Drosophila melanogaster: one gene and its partners. The protein of the gene in region 2 interacts with the protein of the main gene of each other region in a pairwise test. Each region holds a gene or a part of one and is shown on either strand. Other genes may lie near its edges. The genes, in order: CG6923, Orc4 and Liprin-gamma.

What was found.
Region 1: the proteins of Orc4 (region 2) and CG6923 interact in a two-hybrid assay, tested with the Drosophila melanogaster proteins (one large-scale study listed by BioGRID).
Region 3: the proteins of Orc4 (region 2) and Liprin-gamma interact in a two-hybrid assay, tested with the Drosophila melanogaster proteins (one large-scale study listed by BioGRID).

The regions. Positions count from the first base shown.
Region 1 is NT_033777.3:11,742,154-11,754,763, forward strand, and holds CG6923 (uncharacterized protein), read right to left. Parts: upstream 7,877-12,610; 5' UTR 7,545-7,876; intron 7,336-7,544; exon of another isoform or gene 7,089-7,335; intron 6,873-7,088; exon of another isoform or gene 6,807-6,872; 5' UTR 6,737-6,806; coding exon 6,637-6,736; intron 6,582-6,636; coding exon 3,205-6,581; intron 3,141-3,204; coding exon 3,016-3,140; intron 2,955-3,015; coding exon 2,786-2,954; coding exon of another isoform or gene 2,759-2,785; 3' UTR 2,330-2,758; downstream 1-2,329. Other genes in the region: CG14722 (uncharacterized protein), read left to right, coding at 1-8, 84-1,572; CG43062 (uncharacterized protein), read left to right, coding at 8,222-8,746; Lk6 kinase, read right to left, coding at 10,819-12,610.
Region 2 is NT_033778.4:24,792,415-24,801,195, forward strand, and holds Orc4 (origin recognition complex subunit 4), read right to left. Parts: upstream 5,001-8,781; 5' UTR 4,879-5,000; coding exon 4,687-4,878; intron 4,627-4,686; coding exon 3,439-4,626; 3' UTR 3,326-3,438; downstream 1-3,325. Other genes in the region: Reg-5 (rhythmically expressed gene 5), read right to left, coding at 377-490; ETH (ecdysis triggering hormone), read right to left, coding at 2,375-2,800, 2,859-3,044; CG12849 (uncharacterized protein), read left to right, coding at 5,511-5,558, 5,617-5,772, 5,822-5,986, 6,050-6,199; CG3611 (uncharacterized protein), read left to right, coding at 6,696-7,061.
Region 3 is NT_033778.4:22,348,683-22,358,335, forward strand, and holds the start of Liprin-gamma (Liprin-gamma), read right to left. Parts: upstream 6,027-9,653; 5' UTR 5,706-6,026; intron 194-5,705; exon of another isoform or gene 148-193; coding exon of another isoform or gene 1-147. Other genes in the region: CG11298 (uncharacterized protein), read left to right, coding at 1-147.

The DNA of each region.
Region 1 (12,610 bases), on a different chromosome or scaffold from region 2:
ATGCACACGTGAGTAGTTTATTACGCACCGCATTGGGTCAATGGATTGGAATCCTAAACATGTTCCGAACATACGTTTCGCAGACATAACAACTTTAAAACCCCCTCCGACGAAGACGAACTAGATGATCTGGACGAGGACATGGTGGTGGGAGTAATAGCGGAAATCGAACAGGAGGTGCTGAACGAGTCGGACAGCGACAACGACGAATATGACCTGGTAGACATGGGTGCTCCAGTGCCGGATAACGATGGCGACATTAGTTACGAAGGCAACGATAGTAGCAGCAGCGATGACAGTTTCGATCCAAATGCAGCGGACTCCGATTCAGATGATTCAATGCTCGACGAGGCGGGTGGTGTCACCGCCGGAGGAGCAACGAGTGCAAAGAAACGCAAGGATGACGATAATCCATCGGGCAGCAACAAGCAACCAGAAGCCACCTTCGACTTGGACGAGGACGACGAAACAGACGAGACTGTACGTGCCATGATAGCAGCCATAAAGAAGCCACGCAGTTCCCCTCCAGAGATTAAGCTGGAAGACTTTATAACAGATATCTGCTTTCATCCGGATCGCGACATCATCGCCTTGGCCACAATAATCGGGGATGTACATTTGTACGAGTATGACAACGAGGCTAACAAGCTGCTGCGCACTATTGAGGTTCATTCCAAAGCATGCCGCGATGTGGAGTTCACAGAGGATGGGCGCTTCCTGCTCACCTGCTCCAAAGACAAGTGCGTGATGGTCACCGATATGGAAACGGAGAAACTAAAAAAGCTATACGAGACGGCCCACGATGATGCCATCAACACGCTGCACGTTCTGAATGAAAATCTCTTTGCCTCGGGCGATGATGCCGGTACGGTCAAGCTGTGGGATTTGCGCACCAAGAACGCCATCTTCGAGCTAAAAGAACTGGAAGATCAGATCACCCAGCTGACGACTAACGAGCAAAGCAAGCTTCTGCTGGCCACCAGTGCCGATGGCTACCTGACTACATTTAATATATCCGCACGGAAGATGTACGTGCAATCGGAGCCGTACGAGGAGGAGCTGAACTGCATGGGGGTCTACCGCGGTGACTCCAAGCTGGTGGTTGGTACCTCCAAGGGTCGCTTGTACACCTACAACTGGGGCCAATTTGGGTACCACTGCGACATGTATCCGGGCATCAAGAGCCCCATTAGTCTAATGATCCCCATCACAGACCGGATTGCTTGCGTCGCCGGAGAGGATGGAAACATTCGAGCTTGTCACATCGCTCCGTATCGTAATCTCGGCGTTGTGGGACAGCATAACATGCCCATCGAATCGTTAGACGTGAATGCCAGCGGTGAGCTCATCGCATCATCCTCGCACAACAACGACGTGCGATTCTGGAATGTAAAGTATTTCGAGGACTTTGGAGATATCAAGTACAATGAGAAACACAATGCCTACAAGGAGCAGCGTCACAATCTGCCCTCCTCAAAATGCAGCAATGCATCTGACTTTTTTTCCGACTTGACCAAAGAGAACGCGGATGGTGATGATGATCCGGGCGCTGGACCCAGTAATATGGCCTAGAACGATATATTTGCTAGCAATGATTTATAGTTGGTGGGTCAATGTGAGGCGATTCTACAAACACTTCTGTTTACATGAATTAATGCAATGCTTAATCTAATGACTTTTATGCAGTAGTGTATATTCACAGATTTATTAATAGTAAATGAATGAATTGACCCATCAAGATAGAACCTCTTTGAAACCGTCAAAACGTAGTAGCTACCCCAATCCCTAATATGTTGGACGAAGATTTTACACAAAGTTTCACAATGAAATGTTATTGATAATAGAACTGATTTAAAATAAAATATGTAAACCCCAAACAGAAATAAAGGTGTATCGTATTTTTATCGGTGGAATAAAAATCAACAGACGTTTATTGGATTATTTATTGATTTCTGCCGTCTTAGACAGCCAATTTTTAAAAGTTTTAGGAAACTTTCTATAATATAAAACCAACCTTTTTAAAATATGTTAGCTCAAGATTTAAAAAATTGCATCGAATCAATTCACTTATATATGGCACGTTATGAGATATTGAGCAATAATCCGTAATCTATTAAATTAAATAGATGTACTATATATAATTTGGTAATAGCAAAGACACTAGAATAGAATAGAATTATTCTAGGGTCTTTGGTAATAGAATAAAAGATTATTCTCTACATTTTTGTGACTAATCAAAACATAACAAAATTTGTTAAATAATGAGAGGAAATCGTCCAGATTTTAAGTCCTTCAAATAATTACTCAAGAAAAATGCAAATTGCCAAATCGATTTCTAATCGGTTAAGTTTAGGGTCCGATGTTATATTATTTTGTGTGATCATTAAAAATATAACAACAAGCTGGGGTCAAAGTTATCATATACGCCCGTCGTGGGAATTCTATACTATAACAATATACGCATATTTATGAAATTCTTATCACAAGAATTTTGTTTCACAAAACGTAGACAATTTGTACATATGTATAGGAAATTATTTGCCGAATCACTTAATATACTTAGACATAGAAATTGAGCCAAACAAATTTAGCTTTTTGATATCTTTCAGCGCAACACGGCAGCAAGCTGTGGCAACTGCCTTTTACATACGTTGCGGTGGGTTAAACATTTTAAGGTATGTATATAGGGGTTTTTACGAATATTTCATTCTTTGTTCTTGTATCGATGCATGCCGAGAACAAACTCAGTCTGAGGGATTTACATAAAGATGCCGTGCACACAATGTCATAATGCGGCGGAATTGGCGGCATCTGGGACTCCGCTGGAGCTGGGGGGAAGAGCGTCGTTGGGCATGTGTGTTTCGATGTCGACGCGACAAATGGGGCAGTGCTTGTTGGTGACTAGCCACTGATCCACGCAATCCGTGTGAAATAGATGCATGCACGGCAGGCGGCTGCAATTGTTATTTAATATAATTAGAGAACTTTATAAGGTAACGTCCACATTGAACTTACCGAACTTCGTTCTCTATCTCAAAGAGGTTTAAGCAAATGGCGCACTTCTCGGCATCCTCATCGGTCTCACTGGGTCTTCGGACGCGTCGATATTTGTGAGGCAAGGTATTCCGCTCAATAGTTTCCTGAAATAAACGTAAAAACTAATTAATATAAATAGGTATGACTTTGATTTCTATACGGCCTTACCAAAGTAGCTCCCCGGTTTGGACGTGATGGTGCGATAAGGATACGGGAGCCCAGAGATAGGGGGGCCAGCCCAATCTCCAGATGCAGTGGTGAGTAGTGGTGATGGAACATGTGGTGGTGTATGGCCCGCTGGCGCTGCATATGCTGCATTACTGGTGGCGATTGCTGAGCCTGCGGCTGCTGTTGGGGCTGAAGCTGCAGATGTCGCATACTCGCTTGTGCTGCCACGCTACTATTGCCAGAACCGGATGTAGCAGGCGACTGTTGTTGAGGAGATGGTGGAGGAGCAGCAGCTGCCGGTGCAGCGTCGTACGGCGGATAGTAAGCGGGATCCAGGCTTGATACGGGACCGTTCCGAGCATGAACACAACTGCAGATGCTATGCAGGTACCCGTTTCGCAGCGTGCTCGTTAATAGCGGAGCATTCGAAGAAAGATCGATAGGTGTGGGCGTCATGTGGCGACGGTGCATCTCCTGCATGCTTTGCTGGCGGTACCACAGATTTTGATGGACCGGATACGGTGGAGCCGGCGTCAGCGAGGTGGCCACTATGGCGCTGGCCCGGTGAGGGGGATGAATGTGGGCGTGCATCTGGTTCTGCGGTGCCTGGTGACCTTGATGCGGCTGCGGCTGATAGTGCTGTCTATTGCTATACGCAGCTTCGGAGCGTCGAACACTGAACGGCGGAGATCCGCAGTGCGGAATGGTGCTCCGTCCGGAATACATTTCAAGCGGCGGTGGTGGAGAAACAGCTGCCGCCAGGTTTGCATTTGATGCCACTCCTGGCGCTGGCGGATTAATGGATTGCCGCTGCTGGTGTTGCGCATGCACCATTGTATGTGGAGGTGTCCGGTTGCCTTCCAGGGCCGCAGCACGTCCCTCATTATGGGCCTGTGATAGCAAATCACTAAAAGTTTGTGCCTGTACCGCCGCCGCTGTGGCTGCCACTGCAGCCGCATTCAAAGCTCCACTCAAAGAACTGCGACTGCTTCCGCCTTGACTGGGCTGAAAATGAGGATGAGGGTGAGGGTGAGGCTGGAGACTCGGCGGGTAGTCCGACTCCACCACAGTTGGCAGCGTTGTTATCGCATAATAGTACGGATGGTAACGATGATACACGTTCGCCGGGCTACTTCGCCTGTGGCGGGATTGCTGCGTTGATGTCTGCTCGCTGGACGAGCTGCTTGGAGTGGATGTAAGATTTCTTTGCTGATGACGTAAGTATGCCTCAGTGGAAGAGTTGTCAGGCAGCAAAATTGGGGGCATCGGGGGCGGAGGTGGCGGGGGAGCGGGATGGCCTGGCATCCACATCGAGGATTCGTTTATCGGAAGGAAGTAGCGCTGTGGATCCATGTTGGAGCAGCGGGGCGGGTAAAAATTACCGGGGCCGGGATCCATCAGCTGGTCTAGCTCGTAGCTGTAATTGTGGTCCGAAATGGCAGCCCGATCAGCTAGAGCGCCACTATAAAATGCGAATGCAGAGGTGCCCTCATTATTCGCTTCTGTACGACGATCTGTCCTGCGAGCATAGGGGAATGTGTAAGCACAGTCATACATGGTCCTCCTATCCTCATTTGGATCCTCCGGGTTGGGTTGAGTGTCATTACGATATGGTTCCCGATCCCTTGCTCGCTCCCGTTCTCTTTCACGGCCCCTATCCCTATCCCTCTGCAGTTGCGTATCATTGGCCAAGCCATCGTCGTCGGATGTCAAATCGATTGAGAGTATGGGCTCACGAGTGGAGTGCACAAATACTACGTCATCATCATCATCGTCCGATGACCAATCATCCAGCTGCAAGTCTGGTGCCGTCAAGACTACGGAATCGGCGCGGGTCTCATGGCTGCCACGTCTTCCCGTGGATGTGGACGGAAGATTGAGATCCGCGGCGGGCTGACTATCTCTTGGCCGGCCGACGTACGTAATCACACAGGGCCCGTTCGAATTCGGCGTCGAGGATGGTGGAAACCGCACATGATGTTGCCCAGAACTGTTCCCTTGCTCCGCAAAGGTTCGGTGTCCTCTCCTTCCAGGATAGAACGAATTAAAATTCGTTGAGGACAGTTTGGAACGCGATCTTCCGGGCAGTTCCATGCGCGCATGTTTCCTAGGCGGCACTGAGTCGTCAGAGGGCCGCGCACGACTCCATGACATTCTAGACTCGCCGGGAACACCGTACATACTGTGCATGGGTTGGCCTGGTGACTGCTGATGACGCCGTTCTTCGTGAATAATCTCCTCCTGTTGTTGGCGCTGTTGCTGCTCCTGTTCTTGATCCGAGCTTGTGGACGGTGATCCTGTTGCAGCCGACCTTCGACCAATGCGAGATCCATAATCCACGCTACGTGTAGTATGGGTGGCCGTGGAGCAGGAGGCTGACCTAATGTAGGTACTATCCGGTGGAGCTCCCGCCACAGCGCACCGACTATTATAGTAGTTGTGATCCGTATGACCTATCTCGGCCTCGTCGGACCCCCTGCTACCACGGATAATCGTTACTGTGGGCTCAATTGGTGGAACGGGATTATGCACACGCAAATCCCAGCCATCATCGCTGCTCTCGTTTTCCGGCTCCAAAACCCTTGATTTGCGATAAGAAAATTGACTCATCTGTCGCTTTCTCGATTGGGCACTCGTGCTTGGCGTGGCATCCGTATCTACTGCTCTGGAAGAGGTGTTGGAGGCATTATTGGAGCGGCTGGCCTTCTTCTTGTGAGCCTGAACGGCAGACGTAGTCGTCGTGGTGTTGGTGGTACGCGTATGAGCAAACTGGCCGTGCTCCGTGTCCGAGGCACTCGATGTCACATCATCGTAAGCATTTACGGCACTTGGGGCGGTTTCGAAGGAGCTGTTGCTGAGCTGCAGCGAACTAGAGGGGACCTCGTAAACGACCGCCGTAGAGTCCATAGCATGCTCTTCTATAGCACCGGCAGGCCATGTGCCGCTGACGGACGCAACCACCGCGTCGCCGTCATTGTCACTCTCTGGCTCCATTGTCAGGGGTTCAGTCTTCTTTCGCTTGGGTCGTGGAATGGAATGAACAGCGGGCGGATTGGCGATCGCCGCTGTGGAGGATGAGGGCTGCTCCAAGAACTGAGCCTCCGAATGCGACTGGTTCTGTGTGGAGTCCGCATAGCGACTGCTACTGGCCACCATCGATTCGCAGCGGCAGAGTCCGTCCAGCGAACTGCACTTGTCACACCGCCTGGCCAAGCCCTCAAATCCAGAACTCTCTTCGCGACGTGGCTCCACCATGGCGGTGTACGTGGGCGGCGAACGGGTGTGGCTGTGGCTCTGCGAACTGGACAGGAAGGGCGTCATTAGCATGTAGCCCTCCGAATCCCTCTGCTGATTATAGTACATCGCATACTGGGAATCTGCAAAAGCACAAGAGGATTAGCACTATCTGGTTCCAGATGATGGCCAGCTTACGGTTTTCCTGTCCACCCGAACTGGTGGCCACACTGCCGTACGCCAAGGTGACCCTCGGCTGGTGGTGCAGCTCCTCCTGGTCGTTCTCCAAGCTATCCATTTCAGTCGTCTAGTGGGCAACGTTACCAGAACGGCAAAGGTGCGTTGCAGCGCATGCAGGCCAAAATGCGCTAAAATTGTGTATATGTACGAAAAAATGTTTAATTTACGGGTATGAGGAGGTACAACTGTCTAACAGAGACCAGTTTGCTTTTTTTGTCCGGAAACAGAAACAAAAACAAGCAGTGGGTTAAGTATTTGGGTTCCAAAGCTATTGCCAGCTATGTACTCTAGGTACTCCAAATGGAAATTCGGGGCTATTATTTGCACAGTTCTCGAGCGAGTAAAAACGATTTAAAGCTCAAAATAAAGTTTGAAGACGGAAATTTTTTCTTTGCTTGTCAAATACACACTCTTTTGTCAGCACCACTTTTCCGTCAAGTTTTTCATCGCCGTTAGCAGGAAATTCCAAAGCTACGTGGGGAAAACACAAGCGCCGCAGTGAAAAGTGAAAACTTTTTATCGGATTCCATGCACTGGGATGATGGGGGTTTCCACGGAAGCTCTAAATAACTTATGACAACTTATTACTAATTAAGTTCAGCAGTTCTTTATTTTAGCCAACGCAATAGGGATGAGCGTTGTATCGATATGTCAGCATATCGATATGTCTAAGCTGATATTAAGCTGATGCGTTTATTTTGTATTAACTTAAATTAAAATTTACGAATAACATTCAGCTTTAAGTATATTGAATGTTTCGATACTATTGACTTCAATTTGGGGAAAACGCCAAATCAGCTGTTCGGCTGTGGGCAAACTATGAACAGCTGTTCAATGATAACAAATGTCCCCAAAATAATTCTTACCTCTATTATATGTGTAACACAGAAATATTGCGATTTTGGTAATTTTCTTAATTCCTAAAGCCGGGATTACGCGAATAACCGGGTGGGGATTTCCGATTGGGCAAAACAAAGAGAGTGGGTGGTGGGGGTTGGCAGGCCAACAGCTGCTATTGGGGAACACAAGGGAGTTTAAATGCAATTCTTTTCGCGGGGGCGGGGGACTATTCTCATTCGCAGCTGCTGTCCGGAACAAATTTACATTATGCACATGCAAATTTGCGATATATATGTTCTCACGATTTAATCATTTTGTATGTGTTACTGGATTTTATAGCAGTAACAACACCGAACTGAAATATTTAGACAACTTTTTCTTCGACGGTGCAAAAACTTGCAGTTCGGCGATGATGGCGATACTATCGCATAGAAGCTAGCTAGCTCTTTCGTAGACTAAAGTTGCGCAGTATGGCCACACTGATAATTCAAATATTTTGGCACTAAATATACCGTTAGAAACTATACTACCACTACTTACCACTGTTTAGGGAAGCTTAATATATACATACAAAGAAACTCTTAGTTGGAAAGTTGCGAATCATAATTATCTGGTTTTTAATGTTAATCTTAATTAAACTGTATTACATTTTCTAGTTTTGCTATCACAAACATAGTTTCCTTCATTTTCTTTTCATGTAAACATGGGAATAAGCCCACAATGCTGGCCAATCAAGAATAAGACATTCGTGTTTTTGTGCCGGGGCATACACGAAAGAAGGTCAAAGAAAAAGACACTTTCAACGTATTATACTCTTCCCCATTACCACAATCAGGACGAAAACCACAAGTACGCCTTTTTCCATGTGGAAAACGATTCTCGAGTTTTCTTCATTACAATTGGGAGAAGCCGGCTAAACAATCTCGATTGGTTTCTAGTGGATAAATGGGGCAAATTCATTCGAAATGGGACATCAGTCTACGATTACCACACGGGCTTCGAGTGCGTGTACAAAAGGATCCATTTCTTGGAGAGACTGCTTAAAGAATGCTTGGCTAAGCAAAATTCCACGCAAAGGAACAGCACGAATCCCGAGTTGATGGTTCTACACTTCCCGGAAACGAAGGCACCAACCTACCACATGGTATCCATTGGAGACAATACGCGGTGCTTGAACTGGGTTATCTGCCTGCTGGGACTGGTTATACTTCTCTGCTGCCTGAAATAAATCCATATGCACAGCACAAGCCTTAACATATCATGTATTTAGTGTTTTTATTGAGTTTTTATATGTATAAAACAATATCTACTCTTTCTTTTATTGCTGGCTTCGTATTCTTTTCTCTTGGCTTTCGTTTCCAATTCTGTTTAGCCATAATTTTAAAACCAATTCGCTTCATACAAATATTCCTTGATTAAATCGGTCAGCTAATCAATTATCTGCAGGATTTCCCCATATTCTCGTTGGTGTTCATTTCTCGAAAGCTGCGCTGACCAGTGTAACGACTTAAGTTTAACCATTGGCTTAACGGACATTTTCTAAACCAAGGTGCTGTTTGTTTGAGTGTAGTTTTATCGGATTTTAAGCAGCGCTGCTTGTAAATTCAACTCATAGTTATTATTTGTTTTTTTTTTGTTTCGTTGCGAAACACTCCTCACAGTTTTACAAACAAACGAAAGCGATAGTTTCCACTTCAATACTTCAGTTTCAGTGCAACTTTGATTGCTTCTGTAGGAATTCATTGCATGAATAGTATAAATTATTTGGACGCTGTTATTATTATTAGCAAATGTTCAAAACTTTAACCAAACCCAAAACGAGGCCGTTGGCAACTTTTTTTGGCAGCAGCGTTTTGAGCTAAAATTATGAACAATCATTTATGATTTCATATGTCTGCATTTAACTTTATTTTTTGTGGTCAGTTTAATTTTTCGTTTATTTTGTTTTTGTTTTTTGGAAGTTTTTCGCACAAGTTGCTGTTGGTTGGAAAAATAGAAGAATTGGTGTGTATGCAGCATGCACTTGACATTGATTTCGTGGGACGTAAACAAATAAGGTCTGTGGAAAATGATACTCCTCTTATCAGTAGATTGAAGTGGTTGTTGATGGCACAGCGTCATTTGATAGATAGATTTCTTCAGGTGCATTTACATTTACATTTTATATCACAATTTTTTAAATATTATAGGTGTATGTATTTAACAAAATTGGTTTGCGTGTTATTATTTCATTTACGCCCATCAAAACGTGTTGAGCAACTTGCAATGTCAAGAGTGTGTTCGATTTTTGCCCAGTGTAGCTGGCCTTAGTGTGTATGGATGTCAGTGTAGAGAAGTGTTGGGGCTTAATTAAATATATGTTTCAGTATTTTTTGAAATAATTAACTGTACGCATGTAAACTATTTCCAAGCAATTGGCATATACACGTTACAAAACTATAAACTGTAACAAAAAATTACCTTTATATTGCAGTTTATCTTGTGTACGTGTCAATTTCTTTGAAATAACTTACTAGCGTTTAATTTTTTAAGTGTAAATTTCGATTCCAACTAATTGGCGAGCGACTCGAAATTTTGATAATTCAATTAACTTTGTAAAATCAACTTATTCTTGCTGCCCGTTTATCCTTTCCTATAACAATTTTTGTCATGAGAAATAAAAACATACTATTCAAATATTAACAATTTTCATATGTTGTACATGTTGGTATTTGGAACGGGCGTTGTAAAATTATCATCATTTTGAATCAAGAGGCATGAACAAATTTTTAAGAGTACTTAGTATTTAAGCAATTTCACCAAAACAGAAAAGTCGTAAGTGTTTTATGCATCTCTTGACCAAACACTTTTCGTATTCGTTTTTATTTTTCATAATAAAAAATTATACTGCAATATAAATTACAATTTTTTGAATCTTTTTTATAAAAAAAGGTATTTGTTTTCTGTTGTTTTCATCTCGAACGACTGTTTGGCTTGCTTCAAAACAGCGTAGACTATTGCCACTCTCAATTTCCCTCGGTTTCAGTTGGTTTCACTTCGCAGTCGCTTTCTCCTACCACAAGTATTCATCATTTTATTATTATCGTTTTTTTGTTTTTTTTTTTTTTTTTTTGTTTTTGGGGTTTTTGTTAACTCTGTTTGCAGTGGCGGAATCAATTGAATTTAAATAGTTTGCATACACTTTTGCAATAAACGTTAGCTTTTGAAAAGTTGCACCAAAAAGAATGATAGAACTGGAAAGTTGGTTTTAAGAGAATGTGCGTGAAAAAAAACAGAGTTATCTGTCCACAGTGGACCCGCTTAACCACTGGCGGTGGCCGGCTCGCAGTACTCAGACAGATCGTTGGCCCGCTGCTGCTGGCGCAGGCGCCTTTGGAGCAGTACACTCTCGCTGGGCGGCGAAAGGCCGATCCTCATATCAGGCAACTCGTCCATCAATTGGGCCGCCTGCAGGTGGGCGAAGCGTCCACTGCCAATCCGCGGCTGCTGCTGGACACGCTGACCCGACGAACGGTTGTGCCGCTGCTGTTCCGGTCCCTGGTTCATCCCGCAACTGCGGGCGTAAACACAATCCTGACGCCAGTTGCGTATGGCCGACTGCTCGTCAGATGGCGGAGATCCGCCGCTGCCGCTACCACTGCCACTGCTTCCGGCGCTGTTGTGCCGCGGAGGCGGCTGCATTGGTGGCGGCATTGGAGCAATCTTGTAACCAGCGGCACCGCCGCTGTGCGAGAAGCTCCCCAGGTAATTGCGCTGCTGGTTGCCATGGTGGCCACCGCCGCCTCCGGTGCTAAACGGCGGGCGATACTTGCGATAGTCCGCTGTCGGCTGCTGTTCCTGCGAGTGATGGGTGCGATAACGCCAGTTTTCGGTGTGCTGCCTCTGAGGAACTTGATCCGCAAGCTGGTAGCGTGGCACAATGTACCGCTGGTGCTGCTGTCGCTGCTTACGAGTGTAGGCATTGGACGGCAGCTGTTGCTTGCTGTGCTCATGCAGATTCTCCTCGTCATCGTAGTCGTCGTCCTCGTCGATATCGGCATCCTCGTCGTTCTGATATGCATCGGGGGCAAAGTTAACAGTGCGGCCGGTCTTGCTGTGGTGACCCGCGGTGTGGGATAGGGCTACAGGCTTCTCCTCTTCCGCTGACATGCCAAAAGTCGTTTGCATTGTTGTCCCCTCAGCAGTAGTCGTCGGTTTGGTCACGTTCGAATCATCTTCCTCTGGGTTATCGGTTGGTGGGCGTGTTGCTGATGCTGCTGGTGTCGATGCTGCTGGCACTGCCGCTGAGTTGACAACAATATTTGCAGTCTCATAAATTTCAGGTAGCTTTTCATTTAAATCACTAATACTATCCAATAGTTTAACATCATCATCTTCAATTGCATCGCCAGTTTGCCAGTTGTTAATGTGTGTTGTAGTCATAACTGGTGTTTGCAGCTTGTTATTATCGGTGATGGTAGTAGCACTAATATCACTTGATGGTCCTTGCTTCTTAGCCCCATCAACATCATCCTGCTGTTTTTCCTCTTTCTTCTCCTCATCCTGCTGCTGCATTATCTTATTCTCCTCCGTCTGCGCATCGTTGCGCATTATGGTGAGCTTAGCAAATTCGCTTTGCTGAGTGTTTTTCTTCATATCCATATTATCCATAATAAGGTCCTCCCTTATATACCCACCGTTATCGTCCTGTGGCTTCGATTTCTCCACATTGGTCTCGCCAACTTGCTCCACGTAAGCTTTCGATAGCTTTAGATTGTCAGCTTGAGTTTCCTCCTTTGGTTCGTCCTCGAACTCCTCTTCCCCGAATTTATCATCGACGCGCTGCTGCTGCTCATACAGATAGTCGTCGCCCTCTTCCTCGTCTAATTCGCGCCAGTAATGCTTATAGTGCTGATAGTCCTCATTCTCTCCATCCTCATCATCTTCCACTTCGTCGCCTTCGCTTCCGCTCTGACGCCTAAAGCGATCCTCGCCCAGCGTCTCACACTGCTGCTGATATTCCCTCCTAGACCTGCTCCACTCATCATCATCATCGATGTGGCCAAAAGCCTCCAGACCTTCATCGTCGTCATCTTCCTCGTGGACGTTCAAT
Region 2 (8,781 bases):
CATATTCATTCCTTTGGTTTTTTGTCTTCGACGGACTGAAAAGTGCGGAGAGAAACCCAAAAACAGAAGCGCGCAAAGCGCCGTTAATATGCGAACTCAGCGAACTCATTGAAGTTATCACAACACCATATCCATAACCATACCCATATCCATATCAATATCAATATCGCTATTATTAACGATCATGCTCTGCTGATCAAGTATTCAGCGCTGCGCTAGATTCGACAGATTGAATCGAGCTCAATAGACTCAACAGACTCCACTCGACAGATGCGCAATGCCAAGGACAATTGCCGTGTGTAAGTGGAGTAAACGAGGCGTATGCGCAACCTGCACCTGGCGGACGCGGCGTATGCGCAATGTGCAATTCGCTTACCTTCTCGTTGCGGGTCAGGAACTCCCAGATGGGAATGGCCGATGACGAGCTGATCTGAATGTGGAAGGCGCCCAGCAGGCAGCAGGCCAAGATTACTTTCGCCGCAGTCGTCATGGTGTCGTTGCTGCTTTTATGTTGCGTACTCCGCACTACACGGAGAGTTCAGGGGATTCGTGCTCCGTGATCTGTGATCCGTGTTCCGTGGGTCAATTGCACGGTTCGGTTGTGTAACCTTCGTGTGGCGACTTTCTTTTTTTTTAGGGCCCAATAAAAGCGCTTTTGTGGCGGCTTGATAGATTATCACTTGGTTTCGGTGGCTAGCCAAGTGGCTTTCTTCTGTCCGACGCACTTAATTGAATTAACCAAACAACGAGCGTGGCCAATTCGTATTATCGCTGTTTTCGGGTGTACGTGTGTCTCAGCTTGAAACGCAAAAGCTTGTTTCACACATCGGTTTCTCGGCAAGATGGGGGAGTCAGTCGGTCTAGGGAGAGGGGCGCCCACCAGTCGATCACGAAAACGGCGAATTCCAAGCGAAACGGAAACGGAGCGAGCACTATAATCTTGCAGTACTATGTCGAACAACCGATCGCGGCGATGTCAGTGAGTCGTCTTCGGACAGCGCTGGCGCTCCACACGTATTTAAGCTCTGAGATCGGCTTTGGGAGAGCGCAGAGAGCGCCATCGCACGGCAGAGCGAAAGCGGCAGTGAGCGAAAGCGAGAGGGAGAGCGGCAGCGGGTGGGGGATCGGGAGCCCCCCGAAAAAAACAGAGGCGCACGTCGATGCCATCGGGGAATTGGAACCTCAATGTGTGGGAATGTTTAAATATTCTGTGTTAGGTAGTGTAGTTTCATAGACTATAGATTCTCATACAGATTGTATCTGAGAGTCCTTCGAGCCGATTATACACGACAGCAAAATATTTCAGTCGCGCTTGGGCAAAAGGCTTAAGCACGACTCCCAGTCCCCCCTTACATTTGTCTTCCTAAGCCCCTGGAGCCACTATCAAACTTGTTCTACGCTTGCACTGAAAATAGAAATTAAAAACCAAAGTAAACAATCAAAAAGACCAAAAACAATAACAACCAGCACCGAGTCGAACATCAGTGAGGCATTGCAAAAATTTCAAAGTCAAGTTTGCGTCGTCATCGCGTCTGAGTCCGATCAAGCCGGGCTTGTAATTGAAGTTGTTGATGAGCCGCGGGATTACTGGATTGTGGCGAATTCTGGTCAGCATACTTAACAGCAGCCCGCTAATTAAGCAAAATAAACATATCAAATTCCAGAATGCGACGGCGCCATCATCCTGTTTGGGAATTCAATTCGCGGGCAGATCGTTTAATTCAATTAAAAGGTAGAAGTCGGTAAAAGGGAGCAGAAGAATGCGATCGCTGGAATTTCCTAACATCACGGACCCCATAAATTTGATAAGCCCGAGCTCGCTGCGTTGAGTCAGCCACCCCACATCCCCAAATCCCCGCCAAAAGAAGACAGCTGGGTTGTTGACTCGCCAGATTGAGGTGCGGATTGCAGTGGAGTGGACCTGGTCAAAGAAGCACCGTTAATGTGCTGATTCCATTCGATTCCATCCGGGAATGCGATAAAGAAAGGCTCTGATCCAAGCAACTGCAATCCGGATTTCGATTTTCTCTTTCCATTTGGTTTTGTATTTACGTACTTATGGGAAAGCATTCTAATGAAGACTTGGAGAAGACTTACGTTATATTCAGACCATCGTGCGATAGAGGATGAGTCATTTCCATATGGCCGAAATTTATTATGTTTACTATCGTTTTTAGAGGTGTTTTTTGGACTTACCAAAAGAGGCATTTGTTTTCTGGGATTATTCAACTGAAAAGATATTTAAATTTTTTCTTGGACCATTTTCAAGGTTCCGGATATATTTGAAACACACTAGCTAGCAGTGTTGGTAAGTTACATGTATTTCTATAATGTCATATTCCTTTGTCCGTATTCAAATCGAATACTCCACATCTCACAGGATGTTGTACTTGAGGAATTGGCGATCGTAGCGATTTCCCCCGCCGTAAAGTTCCTGATCCTCGTTGTTTTTGTACATCATAAAGTCCGGATTCTGCTCGTCGCCGAAGATGGGAACGAAGCTGCCAAAGCTGAGAGTCTGCTTGAGGTGCTGGTCCGGACGGCGTCCCAGCTGGATAACCTTGCTGTACAGATCGGCATCTGCCTGGAGGGCACGATCGAAATCCTTCCAGTGGACGAACTTCACCTGCTCGCTGGGAATAGCGTTGTTGTCAAGCAGCTCAAGGAGCGTATTCGAGTTGACGGGCTGCACCACGTTAAGTTCCTGCTCCTTCGCTGGGGATTCCCCTGCGGGTAAGCGCCGCTTGCTTGGACTCGTTTCCAAATCCCATAGCCACGCCAGCAGAGGAGTAACAGAGCTCTGAAAACAGTTCATGGTTTAAAAATATCCTTTAAGAAAGCCCATGGGTATAACTTACGTGCTCACTGCGTCCTATGCGAGGAATGGTCTTTAGGTTCTTTATGGCAAAGTTCTCGCCTCGCTTGCCCAGCCGCGGTACGTTCTTGGTGATCTTTAGGAAGAATCCTGGACTACTGTCGTCTGCCTGGCTTATGGCCACAAGACCCACCAAGAGCGAAACAGACAGGACTGTTATGATTCTCATGCTGATGCGACTGAAGCTTCACCTGACTCCTGCTCCACAATTGGTGGCCTTTATATAGCGAGATCCACCCGCATCTTGCGTGGAATAGAAATGCGGGTGACTCCAGGAATTAGCATTATCGATCGGAAAGTGCAAAGCAGATAAAACTGAACTAACCTGACCTAAATGCCTGGCCATAATTAAGTGCATACATACACATTACATTACTTACATTTGTATAAGAACTAAATTTTATAGTACATACCACTTGCGTATGTAAATGCTTGTCTTTTCTCTTATATACGTTTTATAAATTAAAATTAGTTTATTTTCCCAAAACAGGGCTTTACCAACTAAATGATTCGGTACAATTTTTTTTAAATAAATAAATATACAAAGTATTTCTGATCTGCTGCTAAATCAGAGAGCTTTGCGCCCACTGAGCAACCTCTGTGGGAAGGGCCTGGTATCGCTGCATACAGTGGTGAATCTGGCTGTATGTCAGCGCCAGCTTATGCATCTCAAACTCTTTCTGCACCTTACCTACGCCCCCTCCAGCTCCACCGGTGAGCGGCATGATCAGCTCTGCGATGCGTAAATGCTCGAAGGCCTTCAGGACAATGGACCGCTCCACGGCCTGCATTGTGGTGGACACTTTGGCAAACTTGGAAAAGCGCGCGTAAATGATCTCGAAGTTGAAGGAATCGCGATCGTAAATCTGCGAATGGTGCTTGATGGCGATGATCAGGCACAGCTCTAGGACTGAGAGCCCGCAAAGCAGCTCTATCTTGTCGTCGCCCTCAAACTGTGATCCCACTGCAGCCATTTTTTCGGCTGTGATGTGGGGAGATTGCGGTCGGAGATGTGCCACCAGGCGGAATAGGAAGTTCTTGAGATAGGCCTCGCTAATGTCGAAGTCATGGAGCGCTTGGAGGGTGCTTCTTGCCTGCTGAGTGGCCAGGACTTTGCATATTTGCTTGTTCCAGGCATCGCGTAGTCTGGGCGAAAAGCCGTACTCCCCGGGGTCAAAATGGTTGCGGGAGAAGTAAAGTGCCCCCGACTGGATGTTTTGTAGGTTATAGATTTTCTCCGCCGCCAGCAACAGTGAATTGCCGGTCGGGAGGGACAGTAGATCCCTGCACAGGTCAACGTAATCCTCAAAGCGCCGCAAGCTGGGAAAGAGAAAGACCTGCCGGTGCGAGAAACGCGACTTGACCCGCTTCTCCAGCAGCTCGATCACGTCGAGGCGACAGGTAACGCCAAGTACACAGATGGGCGCCTGGGCTGACTGGGAGACGTCGAAGAGGTTGTAGAGCAGGGTCTGGTTGTGGTGAGCACAGAAGAGGTCGAACTCCTCGAGAATAAAGATCACGCTCTTGGAATGCTTGCCACCCGCCTTGAGGCATTGCAGCAGGAAGGCGAGGTTCTCGGCGAACGATCCGAACACTTTCCCATCCGCAGCGTTCTCCAGCTGCATCTGCACAGTGATGGACTTCAGGGCCACTCGGTCGTCCGTGTGCAGATTACCGTCCAGGTGGACGATGAGAGTGTTTTCCCCGAACGATTTATTGGGCAGCAAATCGGCCAGCACGGAGTTGATGAGCTAAAGAATTTGAAAGCATAGATTACTGGATTGGTTTCCCGGTAAGGCCTGCACTCATACCGTTGTCTTTCCGGATCCCCGCGGCCCAAGGAGCAGCAAGGAGTTGGATTCCCCCATTTCAGCTGTGCGTTGCAGCAATAGGCGCACATTGGACCGCTCCTTTGCGTAGCCCCTCAAGGTGGTGTAGTCTCGCTGGAGGCGCTCCTTCAGGAAGCGCCTGATGCTGACCAGCTCCCTATCCGCCTCCGGCATTTTCGCTCTCGGATCGGAACTCCTTTATTCCTCCTTATTTATTAGTTAAATGGACGCACAGATAGTTTGGATTTCTGCCAGTAATTAAGTCGCGCCAAAAAACGTCAACAATGCATTGGGGATGGAACAAAACCGATATTGGTTCATTTAATGTACGGTGGTTTGGAACTCTGATACTACTCAGTGTTGCCTTAAGCCGCCTGAAAAATATATTCGTGCCACAAACCAATACGATCTAATTTCTGCGGCTTTAGCACATTTTGAAATATCAACATTTTAGTTCATACAAAATGGACCTACGATTGAGGAATATGTACAATAGTAACTCTATAAATAACAATCAATTATACATATAAACATCTTTAAAAATATGAACAAATTTCTTTATTAATCGCATAGTCGTTGGCATTTTGAGGGTCAATTTGCTGGAATAGGTTTATTTGGAATGCTGTGTATTTTAAATGTCCATTAAAATAAGTTATTAAACACTCAATGGATTCTCAGAGATTATTTAATATCGGCTGGCAATTTCATAACAGCAATGGATCGAGTAATCACAATTAATAACTTTTGGAATGCTTCAGCTTTTGGCACTCGGTATTGTGGTTATTGTGATCCAGACCTCTTTAGGAATGAGCGGATTGTGGACTTTTCTGCTGATTTTTATGTCTCCGATGGCAGTAAGAATCGAATGCGTATGGCTAATAGATGGCACTATAGAATAATTGATATCCAAAGATCCGAGGACACTTCGAATTCAATAATGTAGTCTGCCTCGTGCGCGACAGGATGTTTATGGACTTTGAGTACTGTTACTTGAAGTCCGTGAACCGCACCTACAAGTACCTTTCGCTAAAAACAAAGATGTTCCGCCTGCCCGTCGACAACTGCGAGGTAAGAGTATAGAACTGTGTCGGTCTCACACCACCCGACCATCTTCCAGACCAGATTCCAGCTGAGGATGCGCGAGAACAGGCGAGTCCTGTACAACTTTGATTTCAAGGTGGACTCCTGCAAGTTCATGCGCGACCGCAAGCACGTGATCGCCAACTGGGTCTACCAGACCTTCGGCCCCTACTCGAACCTGAACCACACCTGCCCCTACGACGTGAGTGAGCGTTGCCATGTTCATGCCGCATAACCTTCGCCTTTCTCACCCACCCACCCACAGCACGACATCGTGCTCGACAAGCTTCCCGTGCAGCATCTGAACAAGCTGGTCCAGTCGATCATCCCCGATGGCAGATACATGATGAACAGCACATGGATGGTCGCGGGCATTCCGCGCACCGATGTCATCCTATACTTTACCAAGAGCTAAACAGTCAAATCCAGTAATATCCAGGCTCTTCAACCCGTAAGCAGAAATATTGGTAAGGTGTTATGCCGTTTTAGTATTGGATGGGGGTCAGCAGGACCAATATAGTAAATATAGTAAGTCTAAGTGGGTCTGTATGTGATGTATTTGTCACATTACTGAGATTTACGAAAATAAATATAGTGTAGTGACGAAAGTTAACTTAAACATGTACATAGGTTTCAGACTAGGCCAGTTCGTAAGCGTTAACAATTATGTGCAGAGTTTCTGCACAGGTGGCTGGCAGTGACCTGGATGCACTGCACCTGTCGTCTGTCAAGTGGCTGCTAATGCGATTAGGGAGCACACAGAAAACGGGATTGGCACTCGGGACTGGCAACTCAGCTGCCAATCAGGTGGGCCAGCCACAAACTTCACACATTTCGGACACATATATCAATCCACTCCACAACCAGAAGGACACGAAGTAAAGTAAACACAACCCCACACCCCTGACAAGATGCCGGCGGACATAGTGACCACGGAGCAGCTGCGCTACCAGCTCGCCTTCAGTCATGCCATGGAAAGGACGACGAGGCACTGGCAGGAGACCTTCGCGTGGTACCCTAAGATGCAGTGCTGCCATTATCAGCGGATTGACCAGATCTATCTGACGAGTCGCCAGCGGTACGGCGACGGCCACTTCCTCAAGTACGCCAACCGCAGGCGCCTGGCAAAGAAGTTCGTGGTTACCGCCCAGGAGGTTGCGGAAGGTTTGGAGGATCTGAAGATGCTGGAGCAAGACGGCATTACGGGCCTCAAAGTTGCGGTCACCGAGAACGGGGAGTACGGCCGAATGAAGCCCTCCAAGCTGTACATGTGCTAGGACACCCTGTGACCAGCCGGCCCGCTCTGCTCCCCAATCCTCGCCAGAACCCCTCACGATTAAACTATCATTCTCTGCTGACAATGCAACTCTCAATGGCCGTCACTCATTACGCGATTTTAGCATGACCGTGCGCATAATTAACAAGGTGAAAACGTCAGTCCCACCTGCAACTGCTTGCCCCGCCCGCCTCGCCGCCGTAGCGAGTGCTCACTGTACCTTCTCCTACTGGGGCGCAGTTGAAAAGTTCACACAGGTAATTAAGTGATCGCGTCTGTCCACTCCATGAGATGACTTGCCTCGCTTGTTCGGGATCTCGGAAACTGCTTTATGGCGCCCATAAACTGGGAAATATTATGCTCAGTGAATTAATTATAGATACCATGCGAATCTTAAGGATTTCGTTTAGGACAGTCACTTCGCCTGATAACTGATTGATAAATTTACAATTGTGAAATATAATCTGGGATACTGTTTGCGAAAATATAGTTATTTCGGGGCACGCCGCACTGCGAGTTCCTTGATAAATGTGTCCATCGACGCAGCTGCTCCTCCTGCGATTGCAGACGTAAGCCCAGGTGTCGTGGGCCAACTTCGAGCAGTATGATTTAAAAGTTCCATATGCAAATTACCCTCAAAGTTTCCGGCGAGCCCATCCGTCTATCGGAGTGCGTGGTAGATGGAAATGCGAAAGTGGCAAGTGGAAATGTGAACTGTGAAATGGGGAAAATAGGAAATGCAAATGCCCATGCAAGTGTGCAAATTACACAAAGGACGCTAACTTTGGGCCAACTTGCGAACTGGGCCAGCGACTCATTAGACACATGACAGCATTCACAGAGTGGGTGGTGGTTCAATCGGCCCAATGTGCGGGGAAGGGGAGGTGGATCGTCAGGTGGGCAGCGGCAAGTGCGTGTGAAAAATCAGCCATCAGCAGCCCACAGAATCGCCAAGCGCGCAATTAAACGGTAGCGGATAATTGCTATCGAAAGCCATAATGATGGCCGGATCAGTACTTACCCCGACTCCAGTATATGCTTCCATATCTTGATGCGGCTCTCCAGAGGAGAGCTTTGTGCGCCTTTCTCGGCTCTCATTGTTCACCCGATTTTCCCATCAGCATCGCATCGATGCGAACTTTTCGAGACCATCACCTTATTTCTGTTGACTCATACTCCTCCCAATCCAACGGACGGACAGCCTCTGATTTTGGCGGTGCTCAAGACTGAGCAGTGGTGACAGTCGAAAAAGCAGGCCAGAACGAGAGTTGCTGCGCTGTAGAGCTCAAAACAAATAAACACAGAGACACCTACTTGCCATACTTTGCACTCGGGGGAGTGGGTGTGCAGAGAGGTCAGGGGTCAACCCCTTTTCGGGCAGGGTAAACAACATTTGCGGATTTCACGCCAGGGCTCAGACAGCATTGCTGATCCTATTAGTGCTCGTCAGGGGCCTCGATTGACTGACTGGCGCCATGTCTCAGGTCTCAGGTCTCGGTCAGGACTTCTCCTTTCGTACGAGAGCATCGCAGCAAGGACCAGCAAGTCCATCCGGGATTAGGGCGTAGAAGGGACTTAATCCAGTTTTGCAGCGATCTCGCTCGTCATTGCAGGTAGACGGTGATCACGTTCGCACTGGCACTGGCACAGGCACAGGAAAAGCCAAATAAAATAATAAAGAAGCACATACTAAGGCCGAAACATTAAATAAATAAAAGTCA
Region 3 (9,653 bases), 2.4 Mb from region 2:
CTGAGAAACCTCAGCGATCACAACCACAAGGTTCAGGTGCGCAAGGACGAGGCCAAGCAGGAGAAGCTTCTCCGAAAACTGACTCATCTCTACGAGGCGCAGAACGCCAGCACTATTTCGCGATTTTGGGGCAAAATTCACAAGTAGGCTGTAAGTCGAAGTAAATAAATTTGGCAGTCGATTCAGAAGCAATAATCAAACTTGCGTCTTCTAAATACAATATATTGCACGGATAAGTGATTTAAAAACATAGTAGTTAAAAACATTCGCTATCACAGAAAACACCAATTTGGTTATTAGCTATTGCGTTCTTTTTTCTGCTTCAGACATTTTCCTTTGTGTATGGAAGACACCATTTTCCGCTTAGAAAGTTTGCCTGTCGCAGCGCTTGTCAAACTTCCACTTTTCGACCAAGTCTGCCATCGACATAGTTGCAGAAAATCGCTTGTCAACTTTCCAACATGCCCATGCTGCGTTTTTATAGTTAACTTTTAGGGCTTTAAGTTTGTCCAGGTTGTCCGGCAATTTGCATTGGAATGAAAGCTAAAAGTTGAGTACGAAAAATTAGTTACAATTTGTGTCGAAGCAGAACAAATTAGCCGCCGCCCGGGGGACTCGTCAAGTAGAAAGTGGGTGGCGAATTGAAAGGATTTCGTAGAGTTTTCTGCCTTTTCGCTCGTTCTTCGTCCTGAAAGCCAAATCCCGATTATGTGCACTCAACTGCAAGTCAGCAGGAGCGTGTGTACATACATATATTTGTTTGGCTACACACACACATCTCAAATCATGAGTCAAAGGAGCGTGTTGCTGGTGGCCAACTAAGTGCTTTCCCTTTGTCCAAAAGCATCTTGCTCCCAGTTAGCAGCTCCCAGCATCAAACTTGAAGTTCAGGCTGAGCACTTGACCTGTTTTCGCCCAACTTATTTGATTTGTGGCCTGCCGGTGACGCTCCTTATGCAGTTGCCTTCGCATTCAATTAAGCTCTTGGGCTGTGTGTTTTGGGGGCAGGCAATTGCCCTGAGAAGCATGCTTCATAAATTGGTTTTTATTGGGGTCCCATGTGTGTTTTTTTTTTTTTTTTTTTTACGATTACGATGATGTTTTTATTATTTGATCAACGCACTGTTACCCATGCGGCAACTTAATTTGATCTGCTTAAATTATTTTATTTTACAATGTGTCTTGGTTACTTAAGACTAACAGATTTTTAATCCTAAAAATGATAGGGAGAATTATAATAGTTGATATAACATAGTAATTATTATTTATTTGATTATTCTAATGAATTTTAAAACTAAGACTTTCTAGGTCAAAACCAGGTTAGGGAGGTCATGAGGGTGGTGTCGCTTGAGTCTTCTTTTGACTCTAGTCCGAGGGTCAGCATTGTCCACAGCTGCAGTTCCTAGCTTCCTTGCTAGGCTGTTGGGGTGTACATTAAGCCTTTCCATATATTTTTGGGCGATGTTCTGGAGCTTGTCTCCTAATTTGGGCACCTTGAGGTCGCGTTCGATGTCTCTTGTTCTCATATACCAAGGAGCCCCCGAAATTCTTCTTAAGGTCTTCGCCTGTAAGATCCGGATCTTATTAAGGTGACTCTTCGCAGCAATGCCGTATACCTGCAGGCCGTAGAACAGGCAGGGGGCCAATATGGACTTGTAAATATTGACCTTGCAGCCAAGCGACAGTTTGTTGCGTGGTGCAATGAGCCAAGACATCCGAGCAACCTTGGTCCTGAACGCTTGCTGAATATTTGTGATGTGCCTGCTGAAGGTGAGCTTCCTATCGAGGGTAATACCAAGGTATTTATAAGCCTGATGGTGTCTGATCAGTCTCCCATTCAGACTGACACCCGGACAGCTACCTGTTCGGTTGGCGAACGTCACATTGGCACACTTCTCAGCGTTGATGCGCACATTCCAGTTCTCAGCCCATTGCTGGAATGCATCCAGGTATTCCTGTAGACCAGAAGTGGCAGCCAGGATACTTTTACTTTTCGTGAGCACAGCAGTATCGTCAGCGTAGGTGGCTATGAGCACATCTTCTTCGTCTACCTCTGTGACTGGTGTGTGAGTAGGCATGTCCGAAGCAAAAACTGAGTATAGGGTTGGGCCAAGAACGCTTCCTTGAGGAACTCCAGCTGCAATTGGCTTGATTGATGATTTGTACCCATCAACAGAGACGTGGAATGTGCGTTCTTCCAGGAAACTTTTAACAACCAAATATAGCTGCGGCGGGAACAGCCTCTTCGCTTTGTACAGGAGCCCAGGGTGCCAGACTCTGTCAAATGCCTGTTGAATATCAAGAAAGGCACCTACTGCATACTCCTTGTTTTCCATAGCTTCCAGAGCAAAGTTCACTACTCTATGTAGTTGCTCAGGAGTACCGTGCTGCAACCGGAAGCCAAACTGAAATTTGGGAATCGCTTTGGTAACATCCTTGCATGTGAGCAGCCTGTTTAGGATCAGCCTCTCCATAATTTTACCCAGAGATGGGAGTAAGCTGATGGGCCTGTACGAGTCAACGTCTGTCGGTGTTTTTCCAGTCTTATGGATCATAATTATGCTCGCCGATTTCCAAGCTTTCGGAAAGTAGCCAACATCAAGAACGCTGTTGAATATTAAGACAAGGAACTGCAATGCTTGATCTGGGAGAAGTCTAATGGTTCTATTATCAAGAAGATCTTCTCCAGGAGCTTTCTTAAGTGGCAGCTTGGCTATTAAATTCTTCACTTCTTCCAGTGTGACAGCACTCGGAGGCAGGCTCATTTGAAAGGGCGATTCCAAGTATCCATGTGTGTGCGTCTGTGGCTTTCGTTCTTAAAATGGGAGGTAAAATATTTGAAATTTATTGCCGTTGCCTTTGATTCAATGCACACATTTATTAATTTATCATTCCATGAGCCGGAGCTCAGGCTCTAAATAAATCAAAGGCTTGAGATGGAAAAGATTTAAATGAATTGGCCGAACAAATGGCCAATAAGTTTTGGCATATCGATTGAATGTCGGCCTACAGAATGCATGCAAATTAATGCAGTATTTTGTGCTGAGCAAAACCATTCGAACCGACTTGATTGCACAAACCACAGACCAACGAGCACACCCCAAAGTGCCATAATGTCAATGCCCGCCCTAGGGCGCCACAACTCGGTGACAATTGACATTGGCAGTGACAGTGACTGTGACAGTGGCGAACGGAGAAATTCAATGAAAATTAATAAGTTGAATTAACAGATTCACGCCGCGAGCAGCCATCGAAATCCAATCCGCCGCACACGCCAAGTGGGAATTTAATGGCTCAGTGCCCTCAATGCCAAATGAGTGAGTGACTGGTCATCCTGTCCGTCCTGACATCCATCATTAAGGTCCTGCCCATCTCAACTCGACTCGCTGAGCTGGCTCAGCTGGCTGAGCCTGGATGCCGTCTGCTAGCCAGCATTCAATTCGATTACCTGCAAGCGAACACTTTATTTCCGAAAGGCTAACTTCATTGACCGTACATATCCTGCTGTGTGACTCATAACATGATGACTAAACCCAGCCATTCACTTGAGGGGAATGTCAGAGAGCGAAATTGCATTGACCTCCTTTAAAAACCCTTCAAACGCAATTTTAGTTGAATTAAAAATGAACGTATAAAGTTACTTAAATAGGTGTCTAAACGTATGCAGTTTAAATAGAATGCTGAGTATTTCCATTCACATATTTGTGAACTTTCGACTCGAAAGTTAGAATTTTTTCCAATATTTTTCCCTTTTCGGGCTAGAAAGTTTTCACTGCGCTGACCGTTTTACACTTGCTTTTAGCCCTAATTTCCTGTATGACTCGATGGTTTCGCCCCCCTTTCTCAGCCAGAAAACTTCAATGGAGCGAGAATGGAATGTGTGGGAGCTGCACAAATTACAATTTGAGCCAGGGCTCCTTCTCGGGGAGAAGGGGAGCCACATAAACCAATCTCCGCCCCTGTTCTTTGCCAAGCGATTTCGCTGCAATCTACATCGCCAGTAGAATGCTGCTCCTCCTTCGGCCGCAAAACTGACAGCAATCAGCTTTGCTGTGGATAAAGTTTTATGCCGAGAAACTCATTTAGTTTGCAATTAATTAGTGGCAGCCGGCAGAGCAGAGTTGAATTTGTGTTTTTAATTTGACTAAATAGATGCACCACTACCGAACGTTGGAGAGCTTGCACAACACGGCGAATGGTGGTGGGGCGTGGTGAGTGGGGCGTGCAGGATGGGGGCGTGACGAAGTAGCATAGTTCTGACTGAGTTTTTCGCTAGGCGTGAAATGTAAATGCTTGACCCAATTGGCAGGGGGCGTCTAAAGGGAAACACAACGAAAAACAACCAACCGCCGACAACAAAATCATTTAAAATGTTTTCCAACCGGGGAAACGGCGAGCGCTAAAACTTTTTCTACGGCGCTTTTGGCGAAGACAACTTGAACACAATTTGATAACCTACATTTGGGGGTCTTGGTAACATTAAAAATTTACACATGACGGCGTGGCCGGGGCGTTGGGGGTTTTGGCCTTACTCGCAGTGCAAAAGTGGAACGGAGTGTTTTCTCAGCGTCCTTGAGCTCTTGTTTTTTATTTGGTATTAAGAGCATGTCAAGTGAGTCTGGCGAACACAGAGGCTGAGGCAGCATGGCTAAGTGAGTTTTCGTTGTTGCTCCTTGTCACAGGAAACGGATGTGTGTGTGTGTGTGTGTGTGTGTGTGCGTGGTTTGGCTTGAAGCGAGAGGGGAAATTGTGGCGGGGGAGGGGGCTGGAGTAGACCGTCCCCGGAGGTGGGTAGCAAAAGTCTTTAAGTCTTTCGGCTTAATAGCTTTCAGTTTGCGACTTTCCTGGTCACAGCCCGACCCGATTCTGGTTGCTTACCCCTTCTATTGTCCCAAATCCCCATCATCATTTCAACCCCCTTCCTGGGTGCCGTGAGTTATTGTCGTGCGATTTATTACGCGACGCACTGTTGGTAGCCTTTGCTGCCTTCGGAGGGGGCCCACATGGCGTATGCGTAACGTATGGTCGTGGTAAAAACTCACGTAATATGCAACATTTACCGCCCGCGGTTCTCCGCCGGTTCCTTTTGATTTATTCAGCCAGGTGGCATACTTTTGACCCATATGGCTTTGATTTCTTGAAAAACTCAAAACCACCAAACATACCACTACCAAGTTAAAGTTATTACTAAAAGTGCAGTCACAGCTCCTTTGATATATGTCAGAAGTAAGCCTATTTCGTTTACGAAATGGTTTCTGCATTTTCTCTCTGTGCAGGTAAATATGATTTTCGTGTCTGGCAGCAATTACTGATGTTGTCATTAGTAAGAACACCACTCGGAAATTAATAAAGATTTGCACAGGCGCAAATCGGTTTAAAAATGCGTGCAAACACTTTGATTATTCATTCACAAAACCCAAGCGGCCCGAAATTCCCAAATGAGATAGTGCGTAATTCGCGACTGACACAGATTTTTCCCTATTTGGCTGTTCGCTGGTTTTCCTTTATATTTGCGCACAGAAACAACAACAAACAGAGTGACACACAAGTTCCAAAAAATTTCCCTACTCCACGCACACTCGCACAAATATTGACCGAATTTTACTGGCGGTGGTTTTTCCCCCCCAAAAATTCGATTGTTCTCCGCAGTGTTTTTCTTGTTTTCGGCGATGCTGTGTCTGTCTGTTTGTTTTCGAAAAATTTACCTCGGATTCTGACTGAAAAAACAAGAAGGCCACATACCACGTGGCCAACAGTTGAAGTCAATGTTGGTTCTTTTATTTTCGTTTTTTTTTTATTTGGTTTTTCTGGCTTTCTAATTTGTTAGACACGCTTTGGTTGAAAGTTTTTTCGGCTATGCTCTTGTTGATTTTGATTGAAACACACACGCACACCAGCACACACTCTCCGCGAAGAGAGCAGGACAGAAAGAGAGAACGAGAGCGAGACCGAAGGATATGTGGGGAATAATTCAATTCTGGCGCTTGGAACGTCTCACTGGGCGAATCACTCGAATGGCACTGAGCTCGAGTCCTTGGCATTTGGCCCGAGTGCCGTTTTGGCGGCGTCCATGTGACGTCACGAAAGCTTAGGCACAGCGAGATGGGAAAAAGGATACAAGAGCGCCCATGCGCATTGGCGAAAGCTCGCAATCGCTGGAGAAATAGCCACCAGGGATCTCTCGAAAACCCGACCTAGCCTTGCCTTGGACAAGTGTTTGTTTACGTTTTCCATCCGAACGTCCCGCAAGAATCCTTTCGAATCCTTGTTGCTCCTCCGCTCCCAAAAACGAAGGTCAAGCTCTGGCTCTGAATCGCAACGACACCACCTCCGTTTTCAATTAATCAGCAATATAAATTGTACTTTGTTTGGACGCCACAATACATTTTCCCCGCAATTTAACTTGGACGAAACAATTTACAGACTGTGTGGTTGGGCCACACAGCCCGATTTTACTCTAATGAAATATCTCAAGACCAAAAATGTCAGTGGTTGCAACTGTTTGCGACAGGCGGGGAGTTACTATTTCAAAATATGAAAAGCCTCAAAACAATAAATGAGGATGAAGTGGGTAAATGTGGGGATGTTGCGCACTTTGAGGTTGCCAACGACAACTGCAGTCTGCATGCTTTCCTACTAATTGTAAAACAATCTGACTGTACACTATCATTTGCGGCAAAAATTGACAAAGGAATCGAAAGTATGTGAGTATTGCACTCAAAGCTGAACATGTATAATATGATCCCGACAGCAAATGCTCAAATTATTGTGAAAAGATTTAATGAACACGTGCAAAATATTTCAGCCAAAGAAATCGCATCGCCTCATCTATGAAAATTGATATTATTGTTCTCTCAATGTGATTGTAACGAAAATGGCATTTTCATTTAAAGTCTAAATGGTTTAATTGAGTTTGAAAGGGCTTAACAATTCTGACAGCTGTGATAAAAGTGGCTTTCTGATTCAGCTTTGCAGTTACATTTAACTGGAAACATTGATTCATAACTGAGTTTCATATTAAAGTGTTATTTTTTTGCCTCTTCTGCAATCCTTTCAATTACTACCTTTCGATTGGCTTGATAAACAAACCTATTTTCCCGCATCGCAACTATGCAATTCAAAGCGGAATCGATTGCCATATCAACGCGTAAGGGTGGAGTAATCCGAATGAGAGCCATTGCAGTGCATTATCCTGAGCTCACAGGACTTGAACCGGATAAATCCCTTTACCGCTCCGTGCCAGAGAGTGTAGTGTCATTCATAAGCACAAGTGGCAGACGTGACTAGCCGCAGCCACGTAGAGGGCTTTGCACCTGACTGAATCGGTCCGATATATCCTATATACATCCTCCTGCCATACCCCTCCCACCCTTCGAACCCTTCGCATCCGCAAACTCATGGACACGGCCACTGTTTGTCTTTATTTTGACTGACAATCATTGTGGTTGCCATCTGTCTGCCTGCGGAAATGTGAAGTGCAGCCATGAGATAACCGCCATCATCTGATGCTAATAAAATGTTATCAAATGAATGTCAAGCGGCTGCTGAGCCCATCCTGCTGCCTTTTTTGTGGCTCTCCTGGCAGACGCCGCCATCGGTGCCAGGATATGTGTATCTGATATCCCGAACAATGGCGGCAGAACAAACGCACACACGGAGGCGCATCGATTACGGTGCTAGTTCATTCAACTCGGCTCCTCCATCGGAAAAGGCCTAGGATATATGGCAAAACTCCGACTCCCTCGACAAAGTCAAGACAGAAGACTTCCCGCCGAGAAGAGGCGGCGGGAGCAGCACTATCTGCCACAGGTGACGCGTGAAAAATTCCACAAGCCATGGAAGCCGAAGGAAACGTCTCTGCCATGCAATTCTTCCCTTTTGTCGTAACTCAACTGCCATTGACAGCCAAGTGTCCCACTGACAGTCGCCGCCCCCAGCAACCCTCCATTTACCCGCTTTTCCATTTCCCCTTGCCCACTTTTCCAACCTGCCGCCTGCAGAGCTGCGGAAAATCAACTACGACGACCTCAACCTTAAGAATTGAGCCAGATGCAGTGAGAGAAGAATCTAAGATTGCATTAGGAGCAACTAAATTTCTACTGGCATCGTTATAATATGATATCAAGATCTAAGCGTGGGGGCTTTCAACATATCATAGCAAATTCCAGACATTTTGAATGCATCTACATGTTGGTGTAAAGATAATGTTCCATACTACAGGACACCCTTACTTTTTTGAGGTGTATTACAAGTCCCGGCCAGCGTTTTGTCAAGCCAACCAATTGTGGGGACGGCATAGCCATTGTCACTGCCTGACATCCACTCCATCCCCACCTAAAAGGGGGGAGGACATGAGACGGGAGTGCTGCGAAAGAAATGGAGTTGCGGTGCCGCGTAGAATGGGGATGTTTATCAATGCCTTGCGCTTATCGCCGACAGCCGCCGCAGTCAGACAAGTGGAAAACTATACACGCCCAGAAAGCAGGAAAAAAATGGGAGTAGAAAATACATAAAACAGCCGGATGCGTTGGCTTGACAACTTATTTCAACATCTTGTTGTAACTGTTCGTTGTGCGCTTCCTATTTTCATTTATCGCAATAAACTTTTCCGCAGATGGCACTGCAAAAAGTTAGCAGATGGAAAGTGGAGAAGTGGAGGCAGTGGGCTGCTGTGGGTGGGAGTCGTCGCCAAAGTTTTCCCAATACTTTTTGAAGCCTTTGTTGCTGCACGGCCATTGTGTGTGCATATGAGCAAATATCTCATTGCAAAATATTTGCGTGTACTTCTTATACAATTCTTGTTATTGAATTCGATCAGAGTTCAAGGATGGCCAGATGCGAATATGCCAAATTGAAAATGCATTGAATTTTAAGCCGATTGGGGTCCAAAGAAACCACTCAACCTAAATCAGCTTACAGATGCATTGATTACCTCAATTAAGATTCCAGCCCTGGCTGGACAGTAATGAATCGAATTAGTATGTAAATGTCCAGAGATAGAGAGTGGATGGTCAGGGCAGCAATTTCGCAATTTCGCTAGGATTGTGCTTTACACTATTTCCTTCTTTTATACCCGTTACTCGTTGAGTACAAGGGTATGATCGATTTGTTGAAAAGCATGACATAGCAAAAATCTGACTATTAAAACCAATTTAATGGAAATGATAAGGCATTTCATTTCTTCTTTTTTATCTTTATCCTCTCCATCTGATTAACGGGTATCCAATAGTCGCGACACTCGACCATAGCGCTCTATCTCTGCTCTCTCTCTCTCTCCGTTTCCGGATGTTGCTAAACGGTTTATCGCACTTGCCACTGCAATCGGATGAGAAGGAGTCTGGAGCGGAAACGGCGATATATTATTAATGTCTATTATAAGGCAGGCGAAGCCAATGCGGCGTATGCGCATTTTTTATATTTTTATTTCGTTTTATTCCTTCGTTTTTATTACGGTCCTGCCCCAAGGCAACGACACATTTCTGCCAAATGTTTCTCCATTTATCCTTTTGGCCCTCCCATCACGATTCCCTTTCCCCTATTTTGGCCCCCGCTTTTTGGGGCTTCCCCATGTTGTCCGGGTTTTATGGCAAGTTGCGAGTGCCGCGTCCTCAGCATCGCTTAATAAGTTTTTATTGCCCCAACTCATGCCAAGT